Linked DNA regions of Cricetulus griseus. The protein of the gene in region 3 interacts with the protein of the main gene of each other region in a biochemical or structural test. Links are inferred from orthologs where the notes say so. Each region holds a gene or a part of one and is shown on either strand. Other genes may lie near its edges.

Evidence for each region. The genes of interacting proteins can lie anywhere in the genome.
Region 1: of the proteins of Rrad (region 3) and Prkaca, one has a biochemical effect on the other in vitro, tested with the Homo sapiens proteins (2 studies listed by BioGRID). The link is inferred for Cricetulus griseus from reciprocal best matches to the Homo sapiens genes RRAD and PRKACA.
Region 2: of the proteins of Rrad (region 3) and Camk2g, one has a biochemical effect on the other in vitro, tested with the Homo sapiens proteins (2 studies listed by BioGRID, with this or other methods). The link is inferred for Cricetulus griseus from reciprocal best matches to the Homo sapiens genes RRAD and CAMK2G.

What each region holds. Positions count from the first base shown.
Region 1 is NC_048596.1:160,443,328-160,447,268, reverse strand, and holds the start of Prkaca (cAMP-dependent protein kinase catalytic subunit alpha), read left to right. Parts: upstream 1-1,141; 5' UTR 1,142-1,307; coding exon 1,308-1,353; intron 1,354-3,941.
Region 2 is NW_023276807.1:200,185,887-200,189,993, reverse strand, and holds the start of Camk2g (calcium/calmodulin-dependent protein kinase type II subunit gamma), read right to left. Parts: upstream 2,801-4,107; 5' UTR 2,678-2,800; coding exon 2,613-2,677; intron 1,277-2,612; coding exon 1,182-1,276; intron 1-1,181.
Region 3 is NC_048596.1:180,903,060-180,907,277, reverse strand, and holds the start of Rrad (GTP-binding protein RAD), read left to right. Parts: upstream 1-1,418; 5' UTR 1,419-2,272; intron 2,273-4,218. UniProt on the Homo sapiens protein: May regulate basal voltage-dependent L-type Ca(2+) currents and be required for beta-adrenergic augmentation of Ca(2+) influx in cardiomyocytes, thereby regulating increases in heart rate and contractile force.

The sequences.
Region 1 (3,941 bases), about 20 Mb from region 3:
CTCCAGCAGAGTGCTCAGGCCCCTGATGTCAGTGGCACAGTGGGAAACTGACCCTGTTCTGGCAGCACAGACTTGAAAGAGTACCCTGGGCAAGGAACAATGCTTGCTTAGCAGCTGGTAGGCATTGTGTTCAACCCCTGCATTGCATGAAAACAAAATTTAAAGATGGGCATCCAGAAGGAACGAGAATGGCTCCCTGCCTGTCCCCAGAGGGCAGGTTCCAGATAGCGATGTCCAGGCAAATGGACTAGAGCAAGGAACCAGTCTCACCATTCCTCCTCCATCAAATGGGAGTGTGACAGTTCCAATGTGCTGGGAACGAGAAGTCATGTACTTGGCCAGTGTCCTCGTTATTACTTTTCAGGGGCCTAAGGCTGGGCCACAGTAAACGGGACATTAAGAGTCTCCTCCCAGCCTGCCCTCACTTTTGGATCCAGCATCCTCTTGCAGCTCCGGCTGTGGCTAGAGCAAACAAGGAGAACTCCGAGCTGGCCGGGTCACGGCCGCCCAGCGTCAGGCCTTATGAATGACGCCGAACGGCGCCCGGCGACCTCTGACCCGCGGCGCCAGTCGGCCCCTCCCCCGCTGGCAGGTGGACAAGCCTCTGCGCCGGCCCGCCGTGGCGTCAACCTCCGCTGGCCCGTGGCCGCTGCCGCACTGGGCAGGGCGGGAGACTGCAGGGCTCACGGTGCCGCACCGGCGTCCGCTGGGGCCGCCTCCCGCACCTTGCAGCGTCTGCCGCCCGGCTACCCTCCAGCCGCCGCCCCGCCCGCACGCCTGCCCCCCCGGGCCGCAGCCTGCGCAGCTACCCCGCCCTCTCACCCTGGGATTGACACTGACTGAGGCCGCGCGCCTCAGCCAATCGGCGGCCTCGCAGGGCGAGCCCCAAGCCCTGTTGGGCTTCTCGGCCAATCACATGCATCCGACCGCCCGACTACGGCCTCGCGAGCCCGTGAGTGGCTGAGCGTCTGCAGCTCGCGTCAAGCATCCGGGAGCCTATGGTAGCGCGGGAAGGTTTCGGAGGGCCAATGGACAACGGCGCGAGGCTGTCTGTCAGGGAGGCCTGAACCAATGGGCGGCGGGGTGCGGGGGCGTCACGGACAGAGGACTTGGGCTGAGGCTCCCCCGCGGGCGGGCGCAGAGAGACGCGGGAAGCAGGGGCTGGGCGGGGGTCGTGGCGCCGCAGCCAGCGCAGCCAGCCCCAGGGGCCGCCGCCTCCGCTGCCCAGCACGCTCCGGGGACGCCGGCCGCCTTAGCACCCGCCGCGCCGCAGCTCCGGGACCGGTCCCGGCCGCGACGCCGCCGCGATGGGCAACGCCGCCGCCGCCAAGAAGGGCAGCGAGCAGGAGAGCGGTGAGTTCCCGGCCGTCACCCTAGTCCCGGCTGCTGCGGCCTGCCCTCGCTCTGGCCATCGCTGCATGGCCCCTCCCCCATGTGCCCCCCCATCCTGTCCGCCTGCACCCCTGCCTGCTGCCTGCTGCCTGTCCACGCTGGGGTCCGAGCACCGCAGAGGAACCTTGCCCCTGGTAGGGCTCCCGTGCCCATGGCCGACCATCCCCCACGTTAAAGGCCGTGCACCCCCACCCAGCTGTCACTGCCAACCATTGCATGCATGACCGCCGGGGCCCCAGATGGGGCCCTGTCACCACCCCACCCCCTCCTCTCCTAGTCCCTTTCCCCATATTCTAATCCCCCCACACTTCGTCACTCACCTTTTCCACACAGCGCCCCAATGCCTGACCCTGATCCAGCCTCCTGCCAATCTCGGGAGTGCTGTGGGGTCCACTCTGCAGGGACCTTAGCTACTTGGTGACCACACCCCTCCCCCTCCAGCCCCCGCCATCTTTCTCCTATCCCTGCTCGATTCTCCCATCTCCAAGCCCCCTTGCCCCATGAGCGTTTCCCAGGACCACCTCCTGCATTGTTTTCCCCTTTCTGTGTCACTTGGCATGGGGAACAAGATCTTTCTGGGTCCCTCTGCCCCTCTCATCCTGTCACTCTGCCTCCTCCATGTAAGCGTCTGGCCCTGGCTGGGGTGGGCAGACTGTTTATGAACCTAGAGAGCTGCTTCTGCGCTTCCAGATCCAAGTTCTAGCTGGTCTCGCTCAGAGCCATTGCGTCTGTCCTCTTTCTTGGGTTGCGGGTGGGGGAAATCGGCAGAGCACCCTCCCATCTCCTGGCCTGCCCTAAGCTCTGGGTTCCTTGGAAGGCCCCTCAATAAATGGTCGTTTCACAACTGCAGTTCTGTCATTCACCCAGTCCCTGGGACTGTTTCGCTCTGCCTGGTTCAAGGCTGAGAATGAAATGTGTTAGCAAGGGCTCATTCGACTTGAATTGGGATGGTCAGAAAGGAATTGCAAGGGTAGGGTAACGACACCCAGCAAAAGGTGACAGCTAATGATTTGGTTTGTTGAGGACAGATGGATACTGTGCATACCCTGGACTCATCCAAAGGGAGGTGTGTTCTACTCCCCCCTTCCCCACCCCAAACATGCTGAATTTTTCCAGCCAGGTAAAGAAACTGATTCTGTATTTGAAATGCCTTCAGAAGGACCTTGTGCCTGTTCCCAATGCTCTCACCTCTTAAAGTGGTGTAATTCTAAGCTAAAGCAGATCCCCTTCAGTTACCCAGAAATAGTCAGACCCACCAAAAGGGGGGAGGGGCTGTGACCAGCTCTGCCCTTCTCAGTGTTTGAGTCCCCAGAATGCCACCGAAGCCCAAGAACTTTCTGCCCCTCCCCCCTTTCAAACAGCGGGGCAGTCTAAAGAGGCCTGGCATGTCACTGATGGGCGGGGGACGGAGAGGCAAGTGCTTGTAGTTGAGGGCTTGATGACAGGAGCAGGTGGGTAGTGCCCAAAAAGGTCTTGGACTTGAGCTTGGAGGGGCCCAGGCAGAAGGGGAGGGCCATCCCCCTTGGCAGGTGAGGCCCACCAGGAGGTAGATGGTTCTGGCAGTGGGGTGTATATTGCAGTAGCCTTTTGAAAACTGAGGGGACATAGTGCTGAAAAAGCTTCAAGCATATCAGACACATTCAGCAGAAACTAAGAGCTACAGAGGATAAAGGGGTCCAAGAAAAAGATCAGTCTCCGAGTTGGCCAGCTGTTTTTGTTGGGATGAAATCCAGCTACTGTTTATCAGGCATCCAAGAGGGCTAACTTAAATGGGCTCTGTAGACAGACTTATTTTGATGACTTTTGTCCAAATGAGCCATCTGAGTTTGACACAGATGACATCATGCAGCAGAATTCACACCCAGATCTGTCTACCCAAAGATCTCTTGGACCCCAGAATGTTTCAACTTAGACATTCTTTTGTTTGTTTTAGCTTTTGAGACAAGGGTCTCTCTGTGTAGCTCCAGCTGACCCAGAACTCTTTCTGTAGATCAGGCTGGCCTCAAACTCATAGAGATTTGCTTGTCTCTGCTTCCCAAGTGCTGGGATTAAAGGCGTGCATCACCATGTCCAGCCTTCATTCATTCTTAAGCTGCCTCCACAGGAGTTAAACCCTAGCCATACTTTCTTAATTTAAAATGATAAAAACATACTGTGAATAATAGTGTATATTGGTGCTACCAGCGATTCAAGAGGCTGAGGCAGGATTGTTTGAGCCCAGGAATTAAAGGCTGGATTGGGTGACAGCAGAACCTTGTATCAAAATACAGATAAAATCTGTGTTCATCAAGATGGCCTAGCAGGTAAAGATGTTTGCTGCCAAGCATGCCAGTCTTGAGTTGTTTTCCTGGGACCTACATGGTGGAAGGGGAAAACTTAACTCCTACAAGTTGTCCTCTGACCTCCATAAGAGTGTGTGTGCACACACCATAAATGTAAAAAATTTAAAATATCAAACAGGCACAGCAACTCATAACTTTATCAAGCAAAAGAGGAACTGTGAGGCTGAAGGACCTGAGTTTGAAGCCAACCTGGGCTGCTATAAAGGA
Region 2 (4,107 bases), on a different chromosome or scaffold from region 3:
TAGGGAAAGACACCCAGGCCAGGAGGCAGACACAGCCCCATGGAACAGGTCCCAGAACAACTGCCAACACAACAGAAGTCCACTGTCATCTCTGTGGAATTTCAGAGCTTCTGGGTGCTTGGGACATCTATTATCTTGCCCTAGTGATACCCAAGTCATTATTGGCCAAAGACCACATCTTCCCCAGGGCATCTGTCCTGGCTCCTAATATATTTATGAGCATCCTATTGCCCAGCCCTAATTCCTTTCTCTGAGTCGCATAACCTTTGTCCCTGTGGTACTCCCTGAAGCTCTCCAGGACCTGGCCCCTGTATTAACCAGTCACCTCTCACTTCACACACTGCTGGGTCTACACCTATCAGATGAGGTAAGCTTGGCAAGCACCCAATACCAGCTTCAAAACTGTACATTCGAAGTGTTAAAGACAGGCCCTGGCTTCCCAGTCCTAGGTACTCAGTAGAATCTCCCAAGTGAGGCTCCAGGGCCTTGGGCGGTAGGCTCCTCACACACTGAGGCACTGCGGCTCTCTCAGACCAGACAGACAGACCACACCACTGGGGTTTCTAGACCATGAGGCATCATCACCCTCTGCTCAGGGCAGACTACATCTGCTGCTTCATCACCAACTTTGTAATTTGATCAAAAAAAGCAATCAAGTTCATCTGGTAGGATTTGTTCCCCAGAAGCCCTCGCCAGTAGCAGCCTCCCCTGATGTTTACAGATTCCCTTCCCTTGGGAGTCTGTTCTGCCTCCTGGTGGGCAGGGGAGGCTAGATTCATCAGAACTGCTCATTTACTGCATTCCCATACCAAGTTACCACCAGGGCACAAGGCTAGGACAAGCATGTCGTGGCCATCACTGCCCTAAAGAGGGGGGGCTCTACATACCCTAAATTAAGAGCTTTTCATTCCATACCACCTACCACCAATTTTCCACTAAGAACTTGAACCTCCTCAATCCTTTGGCGGCCATTCCAGCCATCCGCATCACTTTTTTCCTTCTTCTCCTGAGCACTTCCAATTCCCTCACACCTCCTTGTCTGGCTTCAAAAATCCACCCACCTTGAAATTCCAACTAATCTCCAAGTGCTAAAACACATACTCCCCCAACTCCTAGGGCATCTGCAGAAGACCTATCTTTGGAAGGATCCTCAAGGTGAGGACCAGATAGGGAACACTCACCTCGGGCTGACAACTTCTTGGTATTGATGATTTTTGCTGCATATTCCTGCGTAGATGTTTTCTTCACACACCTTCGGACCACTGAGAAGGCACCCCTGGAGGGAAGAGGGGGAAAGAACTGGGACATGGAACCAACCAAAGTGACACAGACATACATACTTCAGATGAGGACAGAGATGCTCCCACCACCAGACTTGTATTGACAACCAATGGCTAACACAAGAATGATGAGACCACCCCATGGCACTAAACGATGTGGGTGGAGTACCACCTGGCTCCCACCATGTCATCTAAGTTCTTGGGCAAAGAAAGCAACAGCCCCAACCTCAGACTGTCCACACTCCTGGTGGGCGGTGCTTCAAATACACACCTGCTGCATCTCACTGATAGCCTTGCGGTCCCAGCAAAGGCAACCAGGAGATCGAGGGAACAGGGAGACATTGCTCTTTCTCTCAACAGAAATCATTAAGAATAAGGGAAGGGTAGATTAAACAGAAGGTATGATTTCCTGAGGAATTTTCCCTTAAGCCTGGGCAAAGTGAGGCTCAAGACCCGCTAAACTGGCTTAAACCCACAGCATCCCCGCTCGGCTGACAGCAGGGAAATAGAAGGACAGTTCTGAGTCTGACAGCAGTAACTCCCCTTCCCCAAGCTATTTTTCCTCTGCATGACCCGCCAAATGGGCTGCGATCTCGGGCTCTGTAAATATCCAGGGGGTGGGCAGAGCGGGGGCTGCAGTGGCCAGGCTCCGCACCGTGGGTGGGGGTGGCGGGGACCCAGGCTGCGGCGGCGGCGGCGGCGGCGGCCAGTTCAGTGCGGAGGGGAGGGGGATGCTGCGGCTGCGGCGCACAGCTCCCGGGACCACTGCAGGGATGGGGGGAGGGGCCGGGGGTGCCGCAGCACTGCCCAGCAGCAAGGCTGGGATCCTGGAAGCGGCACTAGCGGGGGGCGGGGCCCGGCACTAACCATCTCCCCACACCCGAGCACCGCAGCGGGGCTGGAGCTGCAGAGCTGGGGAGGGTCCTGAGTGCCAGGCGCGTGGGAACTGGGGAGACCAGATACAGAGTGGGCTCGGGAGCCGGGTGGGGAGGGGGCGGTGGGCAGGCGGGGTCGAGAGAGGGGAGCGTCTGAAGGGTGCGGGAGGGGCGGGGCTGGAAGGCGCCCTGGAGCAGTCCTGGGGCTGCAGTTCCCGCGGCAGCGCCGGGTGCAGCAGCCCGGCAGCTGCTGCAGGGAGCAGAGGGGACTGCGGGACAGGGAACCGAGGGCCAAGGGACCCCGAGGCAGCACGCGGGAAAAGCTGGGGGTGGGGCGGGTCGAGGGGGCGCTGCAGCGGCCGGTGCAGGGCCGGGGGGGCGGGGCGAGAAGCCGCATAGCGCCCGGGCGTCTGGGCTAGGGTGAGGGGGGCCGCCGCGTGAGGCGGGTGGGCCGTACTTGCCGAGCTCCTCGAAAAGCTGGTAGTCGTCGGTGAAGCGGGTGCAGGTGGCGGTGGTGGCCATACTGGAGGGCGGGCAGGCGGGCGGGCGGACGCGGCGGTGCAGCCCGCGCCGACGTCGGTGCACAGTCACCGCCGCCCGGCCGAGGGAGCAAGAGGAGGAGACGGGGCTGAGCCCGGCAGCACCGCGAGACTTTACCGGAGAGAGCGAGGGAGGGAGGGACCCCCGCGCCCGCCCGCCCGCCGGCCCCGCCCCCCCCGCTGGCCCCGCCCCGCCCCGGGGAGGGGCCTTCCGCCGCCGGCCCCGCCCCACCCCGGGAGCCGCCCGAACTGGGCCCCCTGCGGCAGGGGGCTGGGAACGCGGGGGTCCCGTCCCCGACCCGCCTACTCGGACCGAGCGAACGGAAAGGTTCACGCTGTGGGATCCTCCCGGGAAGACCCTGCAAGAGCTAAGGAACGAGTGTGCGAAAGTGTTATTTTGAGTTTTGGAGGGTCTGGACCACCGAGGTCTGGGGAGAGGCCCCACACGTGGGTCCCAAACCTGCAGCCTGAACCAAGAAAATGCCAAGGTCAAAGATCTTGTGCTAGACTGTATACTCGGGAGATGCCCTCAAACTGTGCAGAGCCAGCTGCTAGCAGCCTTCCCTCAGGGTGCCGACATTCTAGACTGGTGCGAGAATCAAGGGCATCATTAGAAAAAAACAAAACAAAACAAAATAACCTTCAGCCACCGTTTTATCAGGGAAACCAAGAGGGGTGAGGTGGGGGGGGGGCAAGTTGTTTGCTTGCTTTTCTTTCTTTCTTTTATTTATTCCGTATGTGTGTGGCATTCTGGGTGCCACAGCGCACGTGTGGAGGTCAGAGAACAATCTGGGGAGTTGGTTCTCTTCACCACGGGGGATGTGACTCTCTGGTCGTCAGGCATAGTGCAATAGCCTTTACTCGCAGAGCTGTCTTGCTGGCTGTGTGATGCTTTCCAATCGTAGAGATAAATGTTCTCTCCTAGATCAGTAATGAAAGATAAAAGTGAGGATGTCTTTTTATAAAAAAAAAAAAAAGGCTTTGTGCATTGGTGGCTAAAAGCAGGAGTAGATGAAAGCATACTCATTTTCTTACTTTTATGGCACTTTATGAAATTTTGTAATGATACATTTTCAGGTGTGAGTGCTAGCACACATTATCGAGAACTCCTGGATCATACCACCTAGCTCGATTTCAGGACAACTCGTTGACCTTAGGCAATTCAATCTTTCTGAGCCTCAGTTACCTTATTTGAGAACTGGGAATAAAAATACAGTATACTTCCTAAAGCTGTGAACATTTACTGGTTTAGAATAATCCTCAATACCTAAATAAAAGTGTTGGCAGCTATTATTTAGTATTTGTCTTCCCACTAAACTGTGTGCTTCAATGGAACCCCTGAATATTCAGCTCCTGACCACCCCTTCTGTGTTTATGGAATGGCAGGAGTTACCACCCTTCCTTTCTGTCTCC
Region 3 (4,218 bases):
TAGTCCCAGAACTCAGGAGACTGAGGCAAGCAGATAATCTGATTTTTGAGGCCAGCCTAGTCTACACAGAGAGTTTTAACTAAAGCTATATAGAGAGGCCCTGACTCAAAAAATGAAAATAAATCTTTTTTTTTTTTTTTAGCTCTTCTAGTGCTTCAGTTAGCAAAAGTTGCAAATGAAAAAAAAAAAAATCTTTAAAGAAATATATAAATACCTGGATAGCCAAACCACCAATGGATTCAGTAGTTTCAGTTGACCTGTTGTGACACTGGCCTTATTTGTGTGTGTTTACAGAACTATTTCTAGAGGAACCTACAGAGACATAAAGAACTATGTCCTAAATTGATATAAGTCTGCTGTCTTAGTTTCTTTTCTGTTGCTGGGTTTTTTGTGGGTTTTTTTTTTTGTTTGTTTGTTTTTTGTTTTTTCGAGACAGGGTTTCTCTGTGGCTTTGGAGGCTGCCCTGGAACTAGCTCTTGTAGACCAGGCTGGTCTCGAACTCACAGAGATCCTCCTGTCTCTGCCTCCTGAGTGCTGGGATTAAAGGCGTGCACCACCAATGCCCGGCTTTCTGTTGCTGTTTTAAGACCCCATGACTAAGGCAACTTATAAAAGAAATGTTTATTTTATGGTTTACAGTTTCAGAGGGCTAGAGTCCATGATGGCACTGAAGTGACAAGGCAAGAGCTCACATCTTAATCCACTAGTTGGGAGTCAGAAAGAGAGGGACACTGGGAATAATATGAGTCTTTTGAAACCTCAAAGCCTACCCCCAGTAACACACCTCCTCCAATAAGTCAACCCCTCCTAATTCTTGCCAGTTCCACCAGCTGGAAACCAAGTATTCAGATATATGAGCCTGTAGGGGCCATTCTCACTCAAACCACCACCACATCTGTATAACACAGTTCTTTATCTGACCAAAAATTGAGCCATTCTGATCTGAGAATAATAGTGCATGCCTGTAATTCCAGGTCATCCTTAGCTAGTAGTAAGTTTAAAGTTAACTTACATGAGCCTGTCTCAAAACAGCAAAAAAGCTAATATCCAGTATCCAGTCACATATGAGTTTTCCAGAAACAGTACTTGGATCCTTCCCAAATTCTATATGTTGTATTTGGTTCTCTCTAGCATCTAAGATTTTCTCTCCCCTTCCCACTGGTAATCAGTTTTCCATAACTACATACATGAAGTAACTTATAAAGGAAACAAGTTTGGAGGCTGGAGAGATGGCCAGCAATTAAGAACATGTACTGTTCTTCTAGAAGACCTGAGTTTGGTTCCCAGCACCCATATCAGATAGCTCAGGACCACCTGTAACTCCAGTTCCAGAGGATCCAACACCCTCTTCTTGCCTCTACAGGCACTTAGCACACCATGTGGCATACACACATACATATAAATAAAAAATAAATTGGGTTTTGTTTTGATTTGCTTTTTTTTTTTTTTTTTTTTAGAAGGGGGCTGCAGAGATGACTCAGCAGTGTAAAGTACTTGTTCCTCTTGCGGAGGACCAAGGTTTGATTACTAGCATCTCCATGGTGGCTCACAAGCATCCATAACTCTAGTTCCAGGGGACCTGATGCCCTCTTCTGGCTTCTACAGGCACCAGGCATGCCTGTGATGCATAGGCATACATGCTGGCAAAATTCATAAAATAAATCTTTTTTAAAATCTTTGAAATAGATTAATTTTGGCTTACTGCTTTGGAGGTTTTGGTCCATTGTAATTGGTAGTGCTGTTTTGAGTCCTGTGGTGAAGTAGCACATTGCTACAAGAGTATATAGCAGAGGGGAAAAAAAAGGATTAAGACCAGCCAGGGTTACAGTCCATGCTTCAAGTGCATGTTCTTGAAGAGCTCCCATTAGACACCCCCCTGTCGCTCCACTTGGAAGAATAAGCCTTTGACACTTGGACTTTAGGAATGTTTTCAGATCCAGGCTATAGCCCCTACCCTTGTACATCTTAATTCTGACCTAATCCCCCCACCAAAAAAAAAAAAAATCCCAGAGGGTCCCACCATGTGGTGGTTCCTTGTCCACAGGAGGTTAGTCTAAAGGCCCAAATAAGCTCAGGTTTGAGGGGTTTGCCCAGGAGTGGTGTGTGTGCTGTGACACTTAACCTGTAGGTAGGGTACCTATTTGTCCACTGATGCTGATGCTTAGCCTAGTCCCCAGGTCAAAATAGTAATACTCATTTTCTCTACTGAAAGGATCCTGGGGAATCTTCATCATCCATCCTTCCAGGGGTTTGTGTCATCCCAGGATGCTGGGTAAGCGAAGTGAAGTTCTATAAAGTGATATGGCTGTGTCTGGGGCCTCTGCCTCCTGTTGGCCCTGTGCCCAGAGTGTACTTTGTCATCTCAGAGAGACCACTGGTCTTAGATCTTAGCCATTGGAAGCTCTTTCCCAGGACTGCCTCAGGATTTTCTGCTTCAGTCTCTTTCTCTGGTGGGATGCCCACCCCTACTGGAGCCCAGACATAACTGTGGGTGGTGTCCTAATGAATCCTCATCAGAGAGCCTAGGCTCTTGAACTGTCGAATTGTTTGCTTCTTCATTTGTTTGTTTTGGCTGCTTGAGTCAAGGTCTTACTGTCTCTGTGGCCTAGGCTGGCTTTGAACTCACTGTATAGCCTGGGCTGCCTCAGACTTAGTCCCTAGTGCTGGGATTGTACACCTGTGCCACCATGCCCAGCTCAGCAAATCACCTTGCTCAAGTGTGGTGGTTGCTTTTCTTCCTCATCTACACTTAGCAGTTGAGGAGTAATCTAGGAGAATATCCTAAAGACTTCCAGCTACAGATAAAAATACTGCTCCCTTGGCAAGGGTTGCTGTTGCCTCCAATAAAAAGGCCTAGGCCCATCCCAGACCACAGCAGCTCCTACTGTTCTCAGTTCATTCTTAGGAGTGGCTTTGCCAACCTGATGACTAAAAAGATGATGTGACTACCCAAGACCAAGACGAAGCCACTGGTCCATGTCAGTCAGTTTCTCATCTGTTCACATGGCAATCCCTTTGGGACTGCTCTGTGCACATGTAAACTCTCCCTTGGCCTGTCTCCAATGATCTTCCAGACTCTTTGGTCTGCCATTTTCACAAGTGAAAGAACTGAGTGTTTCAGAGAGATGGAGTGACCCATCAGGGTGATAAGGCTCAAAGATCCTCCCCAAGCTATGGCCTCACCACAAATGAACCTCAGCATGGCAAGCCACATCTGTCTGAGGTGGCCATGGTATCTGAATTCAGCCATATTCAGAGTAAGCAGGTGCTTTTGAGTCTGACTGGCTTTCCTGGTGGCCAGGCCACTAGAGTGAAAGACACCAAGCTGCTAACATTTCAGTCCCTTTGAGATTTTTGTGAATTTTTATGTATGTGTGGATGTATGTATGTATGTGAGGGTGTAGGATCCCCTGGAACTGGAGTTACAGGTACGTGTAAGCTGCCACGTCGGGGCTGGGAATTGAACCCAGGACCTTTGAAAGAACAACCAGTACTCTTAATTGCTGAGCCATCTTTCCAGCCCCACTCTGACATTCTTGACTTATCTGTGCCTGGCCACTGGCTGTCTGTAGGACACCATCTGTGAATACTGGACTAGCTCCCAATGAACTTTCTGGAACCCCAGCTGTGCTAGGAAGGCACAGTGTGGCTGGACACCACCTGTGAATACTGGACTAGCTCCCAATGAACTTTCTGGAACCCCAGCTGTGCTAGGAAGGCACAGTGTGGCTGGAGGAAGATGAAGTTTAAGACCTCTGAGGCCTTCCACCACATATATCCAACTGCTATTTCTGGACTGTTATCCCTCCAGCCTTGGTTACTATGTCTACACAATGGGAATAACAAATCACAGCTAAATGAGATTGCCTCAGAGATTAGATGACACATAGGAACACACTCACCTACATTTATTTTCTCCCGTCATCTTGCCTTTGACAAAAGTGTCTGGCACACAGTTACTTAGTATGGCTCAGTGAAATAGATGGATGAAGTCACAGAACAGAGCAGAGGCCCTGAAGCAAGAGGGCTGTGGTGTAAGCAGGGCTGGGGATGCTGATGGACAGCTGTATTAGTTACTTTTTTCATTGCTGTGACAAGATACATGACAAGAAACAACTGAGGGAAGGAAGGGTTTGTTTTGGCTTGCAGGCTGAGAATATATCTTGTGGTAAGGAGGCATGGCTTCCAACATGTGAGGCAGCTGGTCATGCTGCACCA